Arabidopsis thaliana: one gene and its partners. The protein of the gene in region 3 interacts with the protein of the main gene of each other region in a pairwise test. Each region holds a gene or a part of one and is shown on either strand. Other genes may lie near its edges. The genes, in order: AT5G61240, SVL1 and AT4G11860.

Region 1 (5,507 bases), on a different chromosome or scaffold from region 3:
GTAAATTTTTATCTCTGAGCTTGGTTTCACCATTTCTCTATCTCTATCTCCTCGCTGGGTTACGGTACGAGCCTCTCAAACTTTTCGATTCCTTGTGTTCATAAGTATGTGTGAAAATCCTTGCGTGTCGAGATTGATTTTTCTCTTTTTCGTTTCGGATTCATCGTTGGATTCTTATTTCGTCAATGTTTTTCTGTGATTTGTTCTGATTCATGTGTAATTTGTAGCTGACTTGATTGGTGATCGATGATTAAAATTTGTACTCGTTAGTTCCCCCTTGATTCGATTGATTTTGTCTCTGTGAGGGTATTTTTTCTGATTCTATTGTATTGTTTGTAGATTTGCCAATATTAGAGACTACAAGTGTCGTAATTGGATTCTGAATGAACTTTTGAAACTCTACACGAGCTGGATTGTTGTGTTATTTATATTACAGAGAAATTTATAGCATTTTTGTTGTGTTCATCTGGTTTTCACTAATTTGGTTTTCTTCTCCATCTTTTGTTGATAGGTTTGGTAAGGTCAGTGTTCTCTAAGGCTGAAATTTGGGGGTTTCTCAGTCTCGATGTGGTCGTGCTCCGTTAGGATTCTTCACAATCATTAGGGTTATATTTCTTACAAACTGATGCTCATTTTCTCTTCCCTGTCTATGGCTTTATCTGTGATCCTTCAAAAGCTTAGTGTCTTCGGCCCTGGTTTGAATCCTTCTTTCCCTTACTGCATCGCCAATCACTCCTTTGCCTCCCGTTAATTGAGTTGCTCTCTTTCAACTTAATTACATTAGTCTGCTTCCTTTGCTGTCTAGTCTGGATAGTGTTGCAAATCAAGTAGTATCTTCTTTAGACATTCTTGGCTGAGAGATTTACACTAAAAGCATAGAATAAGAAACCCCTGTTTGGTTAGTATCTACCCGAGTCTCGTAGTCCTACACAGATCCGGATCCTAGTTTCGAAGCTAGTTCTTGTTTAGCTGAAGCTCAGACCCAAAATGCTCCAAGAACCGTCGGCTGCATTCTCCCTCCGGCGTAACTCATTCAGACGCCGATCTCCCAGATCAAATGTCGATGACAGAGGCTGGAATCCGCTCCATATCAAAGCCAGAAAAGGCGATCTGAAATCTGTCAAGCAGCTTCTCGACCAAGGAATGGATGTGAATGCTCTAGCATGGGGACCCAAATCAAAAGGAGTGAGTGCACTTCACCTTGCAGCAGAGGGAGGTCACATTGAAGTCATGGATTTACTCCTAGAACGTGGGGCCAACATTGATGCTAAAACATGGGGCTCATGCGGGTGGACTCCTCTCCACGCTGCAGCCAAAGAGCGGAAGAGAGAAGCAGTGAAGTTTCTGGTGGAGAACGGCGCATTCTTGGCAGATGATATAACTGATACCAGGTTTAATCCGCCGGTGCATTACTGTCACGGCCTTGAATGGGCGTACGAGGAAATGAAGAAGCTTAACAGCGAGTCTTCTTCTTCATCTGGTGGAGACACATCTTCCAGTTCTGACAACTGAACTTCTTCTTGGTTGTTTCTCGGTGTGTTTTGTTTTGTTTTCTAGTTGAGACTACTTATCAGAACTATTATGGTTGGTGTTTGATCTTATGGGCTATGTGAAACATTGAAACTGCGGATACATTCATGTAATCTTCAGTGTGTTATTTTGCAACTCCAGTTTGATATCCTAGCCGAATTTGATTTGTTTAACCGGTTCTGGATCAACCAAAAATATGAGATAATCGGTTTTGGTCTCTTATGAATCATTAAGTCTAAAAATTAATGCAGGTAATTGACATAGTGTGATTTAACATAATTGACATGGATATGTATATAGCTAGATTGCGAGGATGAAGCAAAGTTTTGCTCTTAATTGAGTTAGCACCATATGTTTCTAATCATTGTCATTTGTGTCTTAGGACATGTTTAACTAATTAAGGTAAGGAATGCAATAATTTTACACAAATGACAATTATTTGGTCGATACCCATTAACAAGATTGGTTCTATCTCTTCAATGAATGATTTGGTCGATACCCATTAACCAAAAAGAAAACATCCGGATCATTACCAGACCCGTCGGTGAGATAGCGGGTTTGAAATACACGGTATTCGGTTTACGAATCTCAGGAGGAGGAAGAGAAAATAAAAATGAGTTTTTTAATTTCGCTCTCTTCTTAGATCCCGTTTGTTCTCTTTCTCACTTTGGCTGTTTAAGCAAAAACCATGGCTTCTCGCTGTGAGCTACTTCTGATCTGCGTCTTCTCTCTCTTAATTGCTTTTGCTCACTCCAAGACATTGAAGCGAGATGGTAAGTTTTTACTTTAATCACCCTCTGGTTTTGTGTTTATGATCGATCCTCCATTGATTGAATTTGTATAGCTCTTTAACAGATTTGGTAGATACCCATTATCCAGATTCGTTCTATCTCTTATCAATTTCCATGATTTAGCACGCAAGTTCGATCCTTTTTCTTTCATCTATTTCTAATCTGAGCTGAGCTGAGCTCAAATTGAGAAATATTAATTATGTGTGAACAATGATTGGATCTGATACTATTGGTCTCAAGAAGTTTGTTATATCTCTGCATCATGGTAGTTGGTTACTACTGTATCTTTTATAATCAGCTTTCCTCAAAGTTAATCTCTTGTGGACAGTGAAAGCTTTGAATGAAATCAAAGCCTCTTTGGGATGGAGAGTGGTGTATTCATGGGTTGGTGACGATCCTTGTGGAGATGGAGACCTTCCACCTTGGTCTGGTGTCACGTGTTCTACACAAGGAGACTATAGAGTTGTCACAGAATTGTAAGTTCTGGTTTCTTCTCACTTTAGTGTTTTCTTTTGTAGCAACCTGATTTGCTTCACTGAATTTGATTTGCAGAGAAGTTTATGCGGTTTCGATTGTTGGACCTTTCCCCATTGCAGTAACAAACCTTCTGGATTTGACTAGACTGTAAGTTACTTTCTAAACCTTTTTATTTGTGACATTAGGTAGATTGATGCAAGAACTCTTTGAACAGATATTTCCAACCTAGTTTGTGAAACGAGATCCCCAATAATTCTTTAGAGTTATGCTGTTTTAAGATGGTTAAATTGAAACTGGTATTGGTTTCTTTGATATTTCAGGGATCTACATAACAACAAGTTGACTGGTCCAATCCCTCCACAAATTGGACGACTGAAACGGCTGAAAGTACTGTATGTTCCTTGTGCTCTCACAACGATATGAATCATTGATTTACTTCCTTTCAAAGTTTGTCTCAATAAGTTGTTCTGAGACCAAACTCAGGATCCAATTCTCTTCAGAGTGAACTTAGCACTTACGTGACAGAAGTCTGTTATTTGTGCCATCATAACATGTCAAGTTTCCAAATACTTCACCTAAACATTTACTCTGTTGTTATCACTAGAAACCTGAGGTGGAATAAACTACAAGATGTGATCCCTCCCGAGATTGGGGAGCTGAAGAGACTAACCCATTTGTGAGTACCTTAATGTTTCTTTTTACCTTCTGATGATCGTCCATTTTTATCCACATGAAATCATGATATTTTTTCTTCTTTTCTTTTTATGTTTAAGGTACTTGAGCTTCAATAGCTTCAAGGGAGAAATTCCCAAGGAACTAGCTGCTCTTCCCGAGCTTCGGTATCTATACCTTCAAGAAAACCGTCTCATTGGTAGAATTCCTGCCGAACTGGGGACTCTGCAAAACCTTCGCCACCTGTAAACACCAAATGCCGTTTTCTACATATAGTTTGGGTACCCTCCAATGATTTATTTACTGAGATCATGTTTGGTTTGTGTCCCATTATTTTTCAGAGATGTTGGTAACAACCATTTGGTGGGAACTATACGGGAGCTCATCCGTTTTGATGGAAGTTTCCCAGCTCTTCGCAACTTGTAAGCATCCCTTCAGAAATTTCCATTTGCTTCTCTCTTCCGTTTGATATATTCTTTTATGTACTACGTTTTCTCTTTTTAAAATCTCGATTCATTAGGTACTTGAATAATAACTATTTGAGTGGAGGGATTCCTGCTCAGCTGTCAAATCTTACAAACTTAGAGATTGTGTAAGCAGTCTACACTCTCCATCTCTCTGCAATAAACTATATCACTAGATCTCTGATGTCTGTTTGATTGGTTTTGCAGTTACCTGTCTTACAACAAATTTATTGGAAACATTCCTTTTGCCATTGCTCATATTCCTAAACTGACATACCTGTAAGTCTTTGTGCTAGATCGCTGATCTTTCTCTTTGTCTTTGATTTGCTTACTATCTAAAAGAAAATATGCATTCTAATGGGATCATGATGTTGATGAAACCAGGTACCTTGATCACAACCAATTTACCGGGAGAATCCCAGACGCATTCTACAAGCATCCATTCCTCAAAGAAATGTGAGTTCTCACCCAATTTTTGAAGAGTTCATCAAAGCTTTGACTCAGACAAAATAGCAAACCCATCGAGTATAAGAATTTGAACAATGTGAACTGTTTTGTGTGAAATCCATCTGGATGAGTTTATGATGACTGGTTTTTCAGAAAAGTTGAATGTTTTCTTTCTTCATTCTCCACTCTGACGATAAGGAGTTCTGTTTCTATTTTGCAGGTACATTGAAGGCAACATGTTCAAGTCAGGCGTGAACCCAATTGGTACCCACAAAGTTTTAGAAGTTTCTGATGCCGATTTTGCCGTGTGACCGGATAGAAGATTCCAGGAAGGTTCTCGAGAAAACGTCTCAGAACCACCTAGAGATTGTTCCACTTTAGCCCTCTTCACTATTATTATTTTTTGTATGGTCTGTGGATTTGCAAATGAAAGAAAGCATAAGACTACAAGTTTTTATCTTCATATTGTATAGTTAGACACATTCCACTAATCTATATTTCTCCTTAATCAAATGATTATATATATTTAGATTGGAATAAACCACTTCCAGTATACAATAGTATGTGTTACATCGATCATATATACAATTGCCAAGAAATTTACAGTAGTTCTTCAATGTTTGATTTTCACCAGTTACCATCCTCTTCAAGAACAAGCAGGAGCATCAAAGGTAGGCAACACAATGAAAGAGATCGACAGCGGATTGATATAAACCGGAGATTTCACACCATGACGGACCGGCTCAAGCTTTGGGATATCTCCGGTGGCTGTCGGTACCAAAGGTTTACCATTCAAGAGCATTATCTTGCTACGCAAGTCACCGTCTTTGGGACTCAAGTGATACTCTTCTCTGTTCAAATATCCGTCCGAAGCTTTGTTTCCAACCCAAGAAACCTTGCTCTTGATTGTTTCCAAGAACGATTTCCTCTTCATCGATTCTGCTTGCAAAACCACCTTCACGCCATTGCTGACTGCGACTGTAAACGTCGTGTGCTTACTCAGATTGATCAGAAGAATCGTTATACCCGCCTAAGATGATAGATTTCGCAGTTACAAACCGAAACTAGAGGATAGTTTAGCGACAGAAAGATAGAGATATATATACACTCACTCTTCTTTTGGAGC
Region 2 (6,245 bases), on a different chromosome or scaffold from region 3:
TAGTTTATTCGTCACAAACTCTGTTAATCCGATACTCATTTTTCACTCGATAATGTTTTCGATTTCGTCGATTTTGAAAACACCAATCGCAAACGAAGAAGGCACACAGAGAACGATAGAGAGAGAGACGAGGAAAGAGTCAGAGAGTGAGGAGAGATTTGAACTGCGATGAACAAGGCGGTGGTTACAGGTGGCGAGGAGACGAAAGACACGTGGCATGTTTCCAACGTCATCAGACTGAGTAAACGTGAGGCTTTTTGGAATTGTACTGCATCTTGGGCCTTTTTAGGGCCCAAAACTAACTCATCATGTATTTTTTTCTTACCGGATTTGGGGATTTTTTTCTTTTTTCTTTTTTGGGTCTAACTAACTCGCGTAAATTGTTGTTCTTTTTCCTTAATTTATTTTTACCTCTTGTTCTTTATTCTGTTTATATAAAATTATGAAACTTGAAAACTCAATATTTATTACAACGAATTATTTGGTGAAGACTCGAACCAATCGAAATAAAACACTCTACTGAGTAACGGTCCCGGTTGCAACAGCCAAGACGCTAGAACGTGATCGTTTCGTTTGGTCGTGTTTTGATGACGTAAAAAGTGACTCAGCGACCTATTTCACCACGTGTAATCTTTAACGACCATGTTCTAGGACCTACCTGACTTTTAATCGATCATCCACCACCGCCTTCTCAACATTTTTTAAGATACTAGTATCATTATAGCTATAATATAAATTAAGAAACTTGTAAATATTATAATTAACGTGAAAACATAGAATTCGGATATATAATGTGTATATTAGATAAATAATAAATCTGCTCATATGTGATATGTATATGCATATATCATATATGTAAATGTAGCCATTATTGGAATGCGTATTGGGTAATGGGTAGTATCACTAGAATGATACAATTTTTCTTATATACAGAGAAGAGAAGAGGAAACAAGAAAAACAAATACGTTCCCCGCAGTAGACTTTTTATTTGTTGGTACCGTAGAGGAAAACAGATATACACCAATTACTATAGGAGTGATTAAGGGAGAAATTGCAGGGATATAATTGATATCTAATAGCCGTTTCTACACTAATCCTAATTATAACAAGACCAATGATTGACACATGTATATTGCAATTGCATGCATTATATAGTTTATTATTATGCTTGCTTATAGTTTAGCTGGTTTTGGAAACAAGTAGGTAGTAATAAAGAAAAACAAAGAGAGAGTAGGTCGTAATAAATGAAGAACGCATAACTATAAAAAATAAATACACAAATATATGTAAAACAATTGTTTGGTTTCTCTAGGTTGGAGACAACCAATCAAAAAATTATATTCTAATTTAAAATAAAACTTATTTAGTTATCCCATGAAAATTAAACTCTTGTATTCTCAAAAAAAAATTGAGTCAAAATTACACTCCCAATATTTTCTGTCTGCAATAAAGATATGGAGACACATTGAAAAACATTTTAGTTTATTTATGAAAAACCAAAAAAATAAAATTTTAGTTGATGTTTTCTTTTTAAAGTGGAAAAATGTGTCAAAAACAAAAAGTCGAAGTTCTTTTGTTTTCCCTTTTAAAATAATCAACGATCATATAAATTCGAATCCCACAAACCAAAAAGCTCTCTCTCTCTCTCTCTCTCTCTCTCTCTCTGAGTAAATCTCAGTTTTTGGTCGAAGTTGGTGAAGTCGCCGCCGGGACAACTCAGGTTGTTACAGATGATAAACATGCGAGATAATCCAACAATGCATGTCTTACAAGCTTCAAAGTTTCTATTTTTAGCTCTTATTTTGATCCAGTTGCTGTCTACTCAACTCTTTGCTCAAAGATCTAAAAGTCCATGGCAAACACTCACTGGTTAGTGTCTTCTATCTCCTTCTTCTCCTATTTATTCAATACCCTTCACTGTTAATCAATAAATCAGTAGAAAAGTTGCTTCCTTTTGAATCGTTTCATAGAAATCAAAGAGAAAAATTTGGGGGTTTTCTGAGTTTCATCCAAAGAAAAATCGAAGCTTTCTTATAGGTTTCATCGGATTTTGTTTCCATTTTTGTAGGAGATGCTCCCCTTGTCATTGCTCGTGGTGGGTTTTCTGGGTTGTTGCCAGATTCAAGTCTCGATGCTTACAGTTTTGTATCGCAGACTAGTGTTCCTGGTGCTGTTCTTTGGTGTGATGTGCAACTAACGAAAGATGCAATTGGACTTTGCTTCCCTGATGTGAAGATGATGAATGCTTCCAATATTCAAGATGTTTACCCTAAACGGAAAACTTCTTACTTGCTTAATGGAGTCCCTACTCAGGATTGGTTCACCATTGATTTCAACTTCAAGGATCTGACAAAAGTTATCTGTAAGTTCACGCGTCTTTTTGAGCTTTAGTATACATTCTAATTTATTGGACTAGTGGATACTAGTTGTAGAAAGATCTTATGTTAATTAGTTTATCTATGTTTTAGGGGTAATTTGTCTGTGACATTTGATCAAATTGAGTAAATTTTAGTATTGTTAGATTTGATTGCTGCTGTTCATTGAGGTGTAACTTGCTTGAATCTTCTTCATACAAATCATTCTCATAGTGAAACAAGGAATATTATCACGGTCAGCGGCATTCGATGGAAACAGTTACGGGATATCGACAGTTAAAGATATATCTACGCAGTTAAAACCTGAGGGTTTTTGGTTAAATGTTCAGGTAGCTCTTTTGTCAGTAAGTTTCTTGTTGTTTTCCATTTTTTGTTGCAGTGAAAGCTCACTCTAATACGGCTGTTCTTTATTCAGCACGACGCATTCTATGCTCAACATAATCTGAGCATGAGCAGCTTTCTGCTATCAATTTCCAAGACTGTGATTATTGACTATCTCTCTTCCCCTGAGGTGAATTTCTTTCGGAACATTGGTAGGCGTTTTGGACGCAATGGGCCAAAGTTTGTGTTCCGGTTTCTTGAAAAAGATGATGTTGAGGTGTCAACCAACCAAACCTATGGATCTCTTGCGGGAAACCTAACATTCCTCAAGACTTTTGCTTCAGGAGTTCTTGTTCCCAAGTCTTACATATGGCCAATCGAAAGCCAATACTTGCTTCCCCGTACATCTTTTGTTCAAGATGCTCACAAAGCAGGATTAGAAGTATATGCATCAGGTTTTGGAAACGATTTTGATCTTGCATACAACTACAGTTTTGATCCATTGGCCGAGTACTTATCTTTCATGGACAATGGAGATTTCTCCGTGGATGGCTTGCTTTCTGATTTCCCACTAACAGCATCTTCAGCTGTTGGTAAGTAAATCTCTTCTTCTGTATCACATATACTGCTATAGAAACTACAACTACACAAGTAAAACCATTTTTCACTTTTCCTTTAAACTTTTCTTGTTCCTCAGACTGCTTCTCCCATCTTGGAAGTAATGCTTCATCACAAGGTATTTGAGCTATTCATATGCGTTTTACTGGCCACATTATTGATGCCATGGCACAATAATAACTAACGGTAGATTTTTTTAATCTTCTGTTTGGTTCATGTCACAGTGGATTTTCTTGTTATATCCAAAAATGGAGCAAGTGGAGACTACCCTGGCTGTACTGACTTGGCCTATACAAAGGCTATCAAAGATGGTGCTGATGTTATCGATTGTTCTCTTCAAATGTCATCAGACGGGATTCCGTTTTGCTTAAGTTCAATAAATCTTGGGGAGAGCACGAACGTTGTCCAAAGTCCTTTCAGAAACCGTTCTACAACTGTTCCTGAGATCGGCTCACTTCCTGGAATATACAGCTTTAGTCTGGCATGGTCTGAGATTCAGACCTTGAGACGTAAGTTTTACCCATATTCTCTTAAAACTGTCTTCTCCGTATGGCATTCTTACTCTAGGCAGTGTGTTGTGCTGGTAGATCCTTGTTCTTACGATAACTGAGTTAGCTGCACGATGGTTCTTTCACGGTGTCCACGGCAAATACTAATTCTAGTTATTTAGAGGCTACCAATAGATGCAAAATATCGTTCTGTTGCAACTTTATCTGTCCCTTGATAATGAAAAAGTAATCTTTCTGTTGATGTAATCCATCTCAAAACCGGTTTTTATCTGTTTTAAGTGTCATTGATTATGTTTCCCCCCCCCCCCCCCCCATCTTTTTGCAGCTGCTATTGAAAACCCCTACAGCAGGGAATTCACTATGTTTAGGAATCCAAGGGAGAGAAGTTCCGGGAAGTTTGTTTCACTTTCTGATTTCTTGAACTTGGCAAAAAACTCCAGCTCTCTCACCGGTGTTTTGATCAGCGTGGAGGTGAGTTGTATAATCACTTTTAGACTTTTATCGGTCATTAGAATAAAAGTGATCTTCGTCATTTCTTTTGATGGTTAAAACGAGTATGATTTGTTTCCTTCAGAATGCAACATATCTGAGAGAGAAGCAAGGGCTCGATGCTGTTAAGGCAGTTCTCGATACACTCACAGAAGCTGGTTACAGCAACAAGACAACAACCACAAGGGTTATGATTCAGTCAACTAACAGCTCAGTCTTAATTGACTTCAAGAAACAGAGCCGGTATGAGACAGTGTACAAAGTCGAAGAAACCATCCGCGACATTCTCGACACTGCAATCGAAGACATTAAGAAATTTGCGGATGCTGTTGTCATTAGTAAAAAATCAGTCTTCCCCACCAGCGAAAGTTTCACCACTGGACAAACTAAACTAGTGGAGAGGCTGCAGAAGTTTCAGCTCCCCGTTTACGTTGAAGTGTTCCGAAATGAGTTTGTTTCTCAACCATGGGATTTCTTCGCTGATGCAACTGTCGAGATAAACTCGCATGTTACTGGAGCTGGTATCAATGGAACCATCACTGAGTTCCCTCTCACAGCCGCGAGATACAAAAGTAAAGTGAAAACCAAAAGAATGTCTTTAAAGCTTTTCTGTTTTCATAACATTTTAGAGTTTTTGACTGTTTTTTTTTGTTGTTCCTTCTCAGGGAACTCGTGCTTGACCCGCAAAGACGTGCCTCCTTACATGATCCCAGTTCAGCCCGCTGGCCTCTTAACCATCGTGAGTCCTGCTTCGTTACCTCCAGCCGAAGCACCAAGCCCAGTTTTCACAGATGCTGATGTCACTGAACCACCATTACCTCCAGTCTCAGCCAGAGCCCCAACCACCACCCCTGGACCTCAATCAACAGGTGAAAAGTCTCCCAACGGACAAACCCGAGTCGCTCTATCTCTTCTTCTCTCTGCATTCGCTACGGTTTTCGCCTCTCTTCTACTTCTGTGATCACATTGATCCGATCACCCGCGCCTGTAGGATTTCATTGTGAGATTGATCGAGTCCTCAGGGAATTTTTTTTCCTTCTAACAGTTCTTGGGATTCTTTGCAGTGATGAGTTTCTTGTCTGTTCATATTATTCGTTGTCTTTTGTAGAATTTCTGGCCAAAGAGGTAAAATTCTTGGACGTAAATTTGTATCATTGTTGTAACATTATTCACTGTAATGTTCTATTTAAACTCTTGTCTTGTGTGTACGTACTTGTAACATTATGATTGTTCTTTGAATATTGTTGTCTAATCGTAAAGATTGGGCTTTTAATACAGGCTACTTATGGATCCAAATTAACTAAAATGGGCTTTAGTTTAAAGCCCAAGTACGTGATAATTCAACAAACTTGACAACTTTCTCGAGATGATTCAGATCTGTCGATGAAGCTCTTGTCTGGACTGGGTTTAACAACGAAGACAGAGATCTTGTGGGGATGTTTCTTCGTGATCATTGGTTCTGTTTCCTTCTTCGGATTCGTCATTGCAGTCGTGTCGTCGAATGATAGGCACTATTGCTTCTTGATTCCATTGACTCTACCAGTTATAATGGTTGCTGTCTACTTTCATTGGCTTAGCATGAAGCTCTTCAAGCATGCTTGATATATCCATCGATCACCATTTTAAGGATCTATTGTGAGTTTCAATTTCACTCTCTCTTGACAATTCATTACTGTACGTAACAGAAAAGCTATGGATGTGGATTTCTTGATTAAATTGAGACAACTTTGTTATCAAAGTAGATTTGTTTAACTTTAGTGATTACTGCAAAATTATGTAGATGAAGAGCTTGTATTACACGTAGTGACTTGTTACTCTCAATTAAATCTTCCAAAGCATATGGTTACATTATTGCAAAAACTATAGCATATAATTATAGTTTTGATCCAGATACAATGTGAAGTTTCCCTAAGATACATATATGACTAATGTA
Region 3 (6,997 bases):
TGGTGGTGATAATTATTGTGGGGGTGAGGACAAACTTGTAATATTATATATTACATAATTATTATAGTGTAAGTTTTTTGCAATAGATTAGTTTCTTAATTAATAAGTTTTTTTTAGGTTATACATGCAAATTTCGCTTATAAAAATAAAATGATCAAAAAGAAAAGAAAAGAATGAATTAGATATAATGAATACTGAGAACAAACGAAGATATATGAACAAAAAAGTTAAAAATGTTAAGTTTTATGGTTTCTAATTCGAAACTAGTTAACAATGAATAAAGAGATTTATATTTTTTATACACTAGTCAAGTCTATTCTATATTTTTAATGTGGAATTTTTTCTATACGCTTCTTGGAAATAATGTTTTTCTAGTTATTTCGACAGAATTTAGTTTTTTTTTGAACTATTAATTAGTAAAGATGACCAGACCACTTTCCGGACTGGATTAGTGAATCATGTGTTTTTGGACTCTGATACCATGTTAAGTTTTATTGGTTTTTAACTCAAAATTAATTGACAATAAATGGAAAGGTCTATATCTCTTATATACAACTCAAATCTATTAGATTGTGCGGTTTCAACTCAAAACTAATTGACAATAAGTGGAAAAACTCATAACTTATATATATACCACTTAAAATTATACTCAACTTCTAATGTGGAACAATATTCCTAATATGCCTCATTGAGATCGATGGTTTTTCTAGCCATTGATCACGATATATTTGGTATAGATCGATGGACCAACTACTAAACCGGACCGATGTGTATTGGGTTGAATATCGGCTGACTCAAAATGATGCAAAAGCCATATGCCTCGAAGTTTTATAATTGGATTTCATCATCTATACGCGTGATAGTATAACAATTAGGTTTCAAATGGCCTGTTGGGCTTTTAACTATTCAATTACAGCCCATATATATAGTCAACATTAAAAATACCAACACATTGTCATTGACATGTTTGTACAAGCGTGGTCAAACAGAAATGATGTTATTCTGCTGCTTCATCAATTTATCTCCCTTGTGAATTGAGATTGATGGTTATAATGTTATGTTACTAACATCTTAATATATAAAGTTTGGTTTCTCAAAATTAGTCATTAATGTGATAATTTATAAAACATAATTTCTACAGTATTTTCATGTTTTTAATAAAAATACATGCTTATATATTGAAGTGAAATAATTACTAAACGGAAAACAATTAAAGTGAAAAAACACACCATTGTTTAGACGCAGGCCACACTTTTATTTTGGTTCTGTTTTTCGATTTAAACCTCAAACCTCATAATTCTTTAAACATTCAAATTGTCCCACCGTTTTTATAGATTCCTTCTAGATCGTCAAACACTTATATTCTTCCTTTTCTTTTTGTCAACACATTCTGACATTCATATAACTTTTCGTGTAAAACTATAATATAAATAAATGTGATAAATACACTTCTAATTCTTTCGTAAATGATATATCAAGAAATTTCCCAAAATTTTTTAAAATGTTACGTGTTATAAAGAAATTAATTAGGAATAAAAAAACTATTAAAAGATGACTTTTAAGGAAATGAAATGACGGTGTTATGATAAGAAATGAAGAATTTTATCATTTAAATTGACCTTTCCCCGAGAAGATACGCACTAAAGATACCCAATTGGTTTATCAAAACCGTAATAATCGAACCATAATTCTTCTCATACATCAAATACCGGAATAAATTTGAAAAATTGGTCGTTACTATATTTGGTTCAATAGCAATTTAAACAATACCGGAATTTCGATTTGGTACGTACCGGTTTGGTTATGTGACACATTTCAATATCAACCTTCCCATAAAAGTTCTTTCTCGTAATATAAATTAAATCCTCTTTGCTCTCTCGCTCGCTTCCTCTTTTCGATTTGGATCAGAAAAAATAAAATTTCTTCGGAATTTCCAATAATCTGTCTCTCTTCTTCTTCGATCGAAAATTTGACTTTTTTTCGAATTTGTTTTTTCATTAGCTTTGGTTGATATCATCATCGTCAATGGCGACCGCTTCATCTTCAGAATCTCCGAGCGAAGAAACGCAGACGAATCAAGAAGCGATGCAGCAGCAAGATTTACCGAAGGAAACTACTACGGAGGAGGAGATTTTGTATAAGACGAAATCGATTCAGTTCCTTGGAAGAACCACACCTATCATTCTCCAGAACGAAAATGGACCTTGTCCTTTGTTAGCCATTTGTATGTTTCTATTTTCTCCTTTTTCGTCCTCATAAAACTTCATTCAGATCGTAAAAATAGGGTTTGGAAAGTGGAATTTCGGTGTTATGATCATTGATTCTTTAGGTTTGCGTTACTGATTTTGTGGAATTTGTAAAAGAAATTGAAGAATCGGTGTTAGGTTTGCTTGTTCCGTACAATGTAATGAATCATTGATTTGATGGTTAGTGTACCGAACATCAGATTTTGTTGTTAGCTTGAGCTTCTCGTAGAAATGACAAGTGTGAGAATTTGGTATTTAGTGTGCTTAATAATACTTAGATCAATTAACACTTTGATTACTGATTGTTATTTGATTTTGGGATGAAACAGGTAATGTGCTTCTCTTGAGAAACAACTTGAATCTAAATCCTGACTGTTATGAGGTTTCTCAAGAGAGATTGATGTCCCTCGTGGTCGACAGACTCATTGATTCCAATAGTAAAGTCAATGTAAATAAGCTGGCTTCTTATCTTTGCCTGTTCTTTATATTATCTTGTGGCTTGAATCTATGTGAATCTTTTATTCTTCTCAATGGCAGAACAAAGATGAAGGATATATTGAGAATCAGCAACAGAACATTGCTGATGCAATTGATCTTCTTCCACGCCTTACTACTGGAATTGATGTCAATATTAAATTCAGGAGGTTAATACTTTGTCAGCTGTTTCTGCTTATAATAGGTAGAAATTCATAAGTTAATTATCATGAGTGTTTACCTGGTTGCAGGATTGATGATTTTGAGTTCACACCTGAATGTGCAATATTTGATTTACTTGACATTCCCTTATATCATGGATGGATAGTTGATCCTCAGGTATATCATTTTGTTTCATACTTTATCAGAATGGCTCTGTCTGCGCGTAAATAATTAAATTTCATTAGTATAGGCTGTTGACGTTTTTTAATTTCGTTCCTGTCTTTTGTGTGTGGATGTTTGGGATGTGGGGTCATCTTCTCTTCTTTATCTTCTTGAGAGTTGAGAAACAAAACATAGGTTACTTTATTCTTTTTATCCATTGTTTGGCTCGTTTTAAGATGGATTGGAACAGTGGTCAAGAGCACTCATTTTAAGATGGTGTCCTTATCAATCCTGGGCCTGTAGTAAAACTGTAAAAGTATTGATTCAATTGTTTCCCATGTGCATACCTACAGGATGTTGAAGCAGCTAATGCAATTGGTAGCAAATCGTATAATGCTCTTATGGGTGAGCTAGTTGCACTGGAGACACAGAATGTAGAGGCTCAAGGCGATCAAAATCCCGGAGAAGATTCTGTTGATTTTGCTGCGGCAACTACTGCAGTTTTAGGGGTTCCTTCACCTTGTCTTTCGAAAACAAGATCTTTTGATGATTCTCCACCTGCGGCTGCAGAGCTTCGTAGAATGAGAAAGGGGGATCTTGAAGAAGAAACAGAGTTGTTGCAAGCCTTGCAGTTATCACAGGGGCAGGGGAATGATCCAACTCCAAACACTAACGGAGACTCAACCAATCAAGATTCTGCGTTCACATTTTCAGATGCGAGTCCAACTAGCACCCATATTACTAATATCAGTCAGCTAGACCAGTTCAAAACTGATGATGATAAAGCATCAGAAAATGATGGGAATATGATCAAAGTTGGGAAATTTCCGACAACGATTACAACTAAAAGTGAGGATCTTAACCATGATCAATTATCTTCTAAGCAATCTGGAGGTGAAACGGCTTGTGATGTTGAGAACGTGAGTAGCAGCAAAGAGGCCATTGTCGATGTAACTTCTTCTGAGGCACTCTCTGTGGATAAGGGTAATCTGGAGTCAGCGAAAAGTGAAAGCAGTTCTGAGAGTGTACTCAAGTCTGATGCAGCTTCTATTGATCCAGGTAGTTTTTTTGACTCTTCCTTAGTTGGTGTAACCTTATAGATGTCTCTATACATAAGTATAGTACTCCTCCATCTTAATCATTTTACTGGCTAAAATTGCATCTGAAGATATTAGATAGGAAAATTCTTACTCAGATACCCATTGCATCTCCAGATTTGAGTTGCAGATCCCAGCATGATGATGCACCCAACGCTTTTATCCCACCTGTATCTACCGATGAACCTATGTACGAAGGTGAGGAATGTGTAAACACAGTGCCTCCAGTTTGTGCAGACAAAGAACCCGTTTATGAAGGTGAGTCACTTCTTGGTAAAAGGGTTGAGAAGGATGTTGGTGATTGTTCTTCTGAAGGGAGGGCTACGGATGGGCTCACAGCAGAAGAAGGTAAATTATACTGTGTCTGATCTACTTGTGATACACTTGAAATACATTTTCGGAAACTCATACATGCATGCCATTGTGGTTAGAGCTGCTCTCTTTGCTCTAGTTCACATTTTTCCATATATTCTTGCAATTATTAAATAGTTGTTCTTGAGTTTTTCCAGGTGAACTAATCAGGAACTTTATGAAGAATAGTGCAAGTCAATTAACCTTTTGTGGGTGCGTGATCTTATTCATAGTTAGGAAGTTATATTTTAAATTGACTGCTCATGTATTATCTTACATTGATTATTGATCATATCTTACAGACTCTTTCGCTTGCAAGAAGGCCTCAAAGAACGTGAACTCTGTGTTTTTTTCCGGAACAATCATTTCTGCACCATGTTCAAGGTTTGTTTAGTTTGCGGTTATTTCCATCTTTGAATTGCAACAGGTTAATCCCAACTAAATTCTTCTTGTTGCTGTCATATTTTCAGTATGAAGGTGAACTTTATCTTTTGGCTACAGATCAAGGTTACCTGAATCAGCCTGATTTGGTTTGGGAAAAACTAAACGAGGTATCAGCAAAAGTTACTTACTCACCATTTGTCTTATCTGCTAATTTTGGCTTCTTAGGAGATATCTCTATATCCACAATCTCTTTAGAGCTATGGCTGTTGTGACCACTATTGACATGCAATCTGGTTTCAGGTTAATGGTGACACTGCATTCATGACTGCTACCTTCAAGGACTTCACGATCGACAGCAGCACAGGTGGTGCAAGTGGCACATGGGATGAACGAAACGCAGTCACAAATACTGCTGTATGTTCTCCTCATAATATAGTCACTAATCCACATTAGATCTCCTTCTTTTACCTTTTTAATCATTTTTTTTCTTTTGGTTCTCCCTACACAGGATTATCTTGCCAGCATCAACAATGTAGCGGATGCAGGCATAGATGTCAAGTAAATATTTCATACCTTTCTTTGACCACTAACCCATTGGTTCTCACCAGAGACACATTTATGCATTTGTTATAACTGTCCTCTTAAAAACATATTTATGATTGTTTAATTTTAATTCCCATGGTACTATGCAGTTCTGATCTGCAACTAGCAATAGCTTTGCAACAACAAGAGTTTGAGGACCAGAGCCCACGTAGTAACCCAACTCCACAACCAACTAGCGTTGCTGCCTCACGATTGGTCACTGGTCCACAGGTATTTCATTCCTACTCATAACACTATATTCTTAAAAAGCAGGAATCGACACAAATGGTTAACAATGATTATAAGAAAAGGTAAATTACCGTGTGACCTGCACATTGCAACAATATACAACACTGATTATTAAAATAGTAAGAGAGTATAGCCTTAACAAGCACATCTGCAAGTCCTGTTTAGTACATTTGTTTTCTGTCCATATACTTTACCGACTAAGATGAGTTTACAAGTACCAATTGCGAGTGTAAAACATCGATAATGATCATACACCGTAATCAGAAGCTCATTGAATATAATGCAGCCTTGCTTCTTGTGGTGTTTGGATGAATGTTAATGATCAGATATTGTACTGACCATTGCAGGTACCAAGGAGCAGCCACAGGCCATCATCAGCTGCGTCTTCGAGACACGACGGCAAATCCCCTAAAGATAAAGATAGCAAATGTAGAATCATGTAAATCCTCATTTCACTTATGTAAATTTCCAACTTTTTCTTATTCCCTAACTAATTTTAATCCTTAAAAGCTTTTTGGTTTTAACAAAAAATAAACTGTAATTGCGCTTTGACTAAACTATTTTTTGTTGCTCATAAAAAATCAGAGCTTTTCTTTATCCTTTTGAGAAGTGGGAGACGAATTAGAGTTTGTGTTCACGTTTTGGCTTTCGTTCTGTTAAGTTACTCTGATCGCCGTTACTTTTTTGACGGAGTAACGGCTATTGTCCGTGATGCCTTTTATAATAATTCTGCTTAGCCGGCTCGGTTTGACTAATCGCCAACTTTTTCAAGTTGTAATCGGAGAATGTGATTATTAATCCCTAATTAAAATACTTTTTATCTGCATTAGCTAATCATTTTGACTAGTTATAAACTTAAAATAATAAATAAATTATATCCTAATCCCTCAATTCGAATTTCAAACTAGTTTGTATTTCTTTACAAGTTCAACTTTTTTCTTTTCACTATAAGATAATGATGTGCTAAGACCACGACTGATAGATAATATGAATCCACTAGAGCTGTTGAAAATTATAGTTCAAAATTGAGGAAGACTTCAACAATGAAAATGTCTTCTCCATTGAAGAAAATGTCTTGATTTATTATTCAATACGCAATTATATGGTTTAATTTAGTGATTTTTCGAATGTTTACTTCTTGTTGATAATAAATATTAAATAGTAATATGATTTCATTTCAAGAAAATGTCATGCTTAATTATTACTTACACTATTAAGTCGAATGTTTAATTTCTAGTTGATATATAAAAATAGTAACATCACCACTCAAATGAAGTTGCATCAAAAGAG

The links.
Region 1: the proteins of AT4G11860 (region 3) and AT5G61240 interact in a protein complementation assay, tested with the Arabidopsis thaliana proteins (one large-scale study listed by BioGRID).
Region 2: the proteins of AT4G11860 (region 3) and SVL1 interact in a protein complementation assay, tested with the Arabidopsis thaliana proteins (one large-scale study listed by BioGRID).

Annotation. Positions count from the first base shown.
Region 1 is NC_003076.8:24,627,267-24,632,773, forward strand, and holds AT5G61240 (Leucine-rich repeat (LRR) family protein), read left to right. Parts: upstream 1-1,989; 5' UTR 1,990-2,218; coding exon 2,219-2,303; intron 2,304-2,649; coding exon 2,650-2,797; intron 2,798-2,873; coding exon 2,874-2,945; intron 2,946-3,118; coding exon 3,119-3,194; intron 3,195-3,281; coding exon 3,282-3,316; intron 3,317-3,402; coding exon 3,403-3,474; intron 3,475-3,571; coding exon 3,572-3,715; intron 3,716-3,811; coding exon 3,812-3,892; intron 3,893-3,990; coding exon 3,991-4,062; intron 4,063-4,141; coding exon 4,142-4,213; intron 4,214-4,318; coding exon 4,319-4,390; intron 4,391-4,601; coding exon 4,602-4,692; 3' UTR 4,693-4,936; downstream 4,937-5,507. Other genes in the region: ANK6 (Ankyrin repeat family protein), read left to right, coding at 988-1,512; GUS1 (glucuronidase 1), read right to left, coding at 5,028-5,411, 5,494-5,507.
Region 2 is NC_003076.8:22,472,547-22,478,791, forward strand, and holds SVL1 (SHV3-like 1), read left to right. Parts: upstream 1-1,595; 5' UTR 1,596-1,730; coding exon 1,731-1,869; intron 1,870-2,068; coding exon 2,069-2,362; intron 2,363-2,588; coding exon 2,589-2,704; intron 2,705-2,790; coding exon 2,791-3,289; intron 3,290-3,393; coding exon 3,394-3,432; intron 3,433-3,538; coding exon 3,539-3,823; intron 3,824-4,148; coding exon 4,149-4,294; intron 4,295-4,397; coding exon 4,398-4,884; intron 4,885-4,977; coding exon 4,978-5,273; 3' UTR 5,274-5,670; downstream 5,671-6,245. Other genes in the region: NHX3 (Na+/H+ (sodium hydrogen) exchanger 3), read right to left, coding at 1-39.
Region 3 is NC_003075.7:7,133,390-7,140,386, reverse strand, and holds AT4G11860 (FAM63A-like protein (DUF544)), read left to right. Parts: upstream 1-1,876; 5' UTR 1,877-2,025; coding exon 2,026-2,224; intron 2,225-2,575; coding exon 2,576-2,694; intron 2,695-2,783; coding exon 2,784-2,890; intron 2,891-2,971; coding exon 2,972-3,059; intron 3,060-3,397; coding exon 3,398-4,103; intron 4,104-4,258; coding exon 4,259-4,489; intron 4,490-4,650; coding exon 4,651-4,705; intron 4,706-4,794; coding exon 4,795-4,876; intron 4,877-4,962; coding exon 4,963-5,043; intron 5,044-5,176; coding exon 5,177-5,290; intron 5,291-5,384; coding exon 5,385-5,434; intron 5,435-5,568; coding exon 5,569-5,689; intron 5,690-6,054; coding exon 6,055-6,150; 3' UTR 6,151-6,491; downstream 6,492-6,997.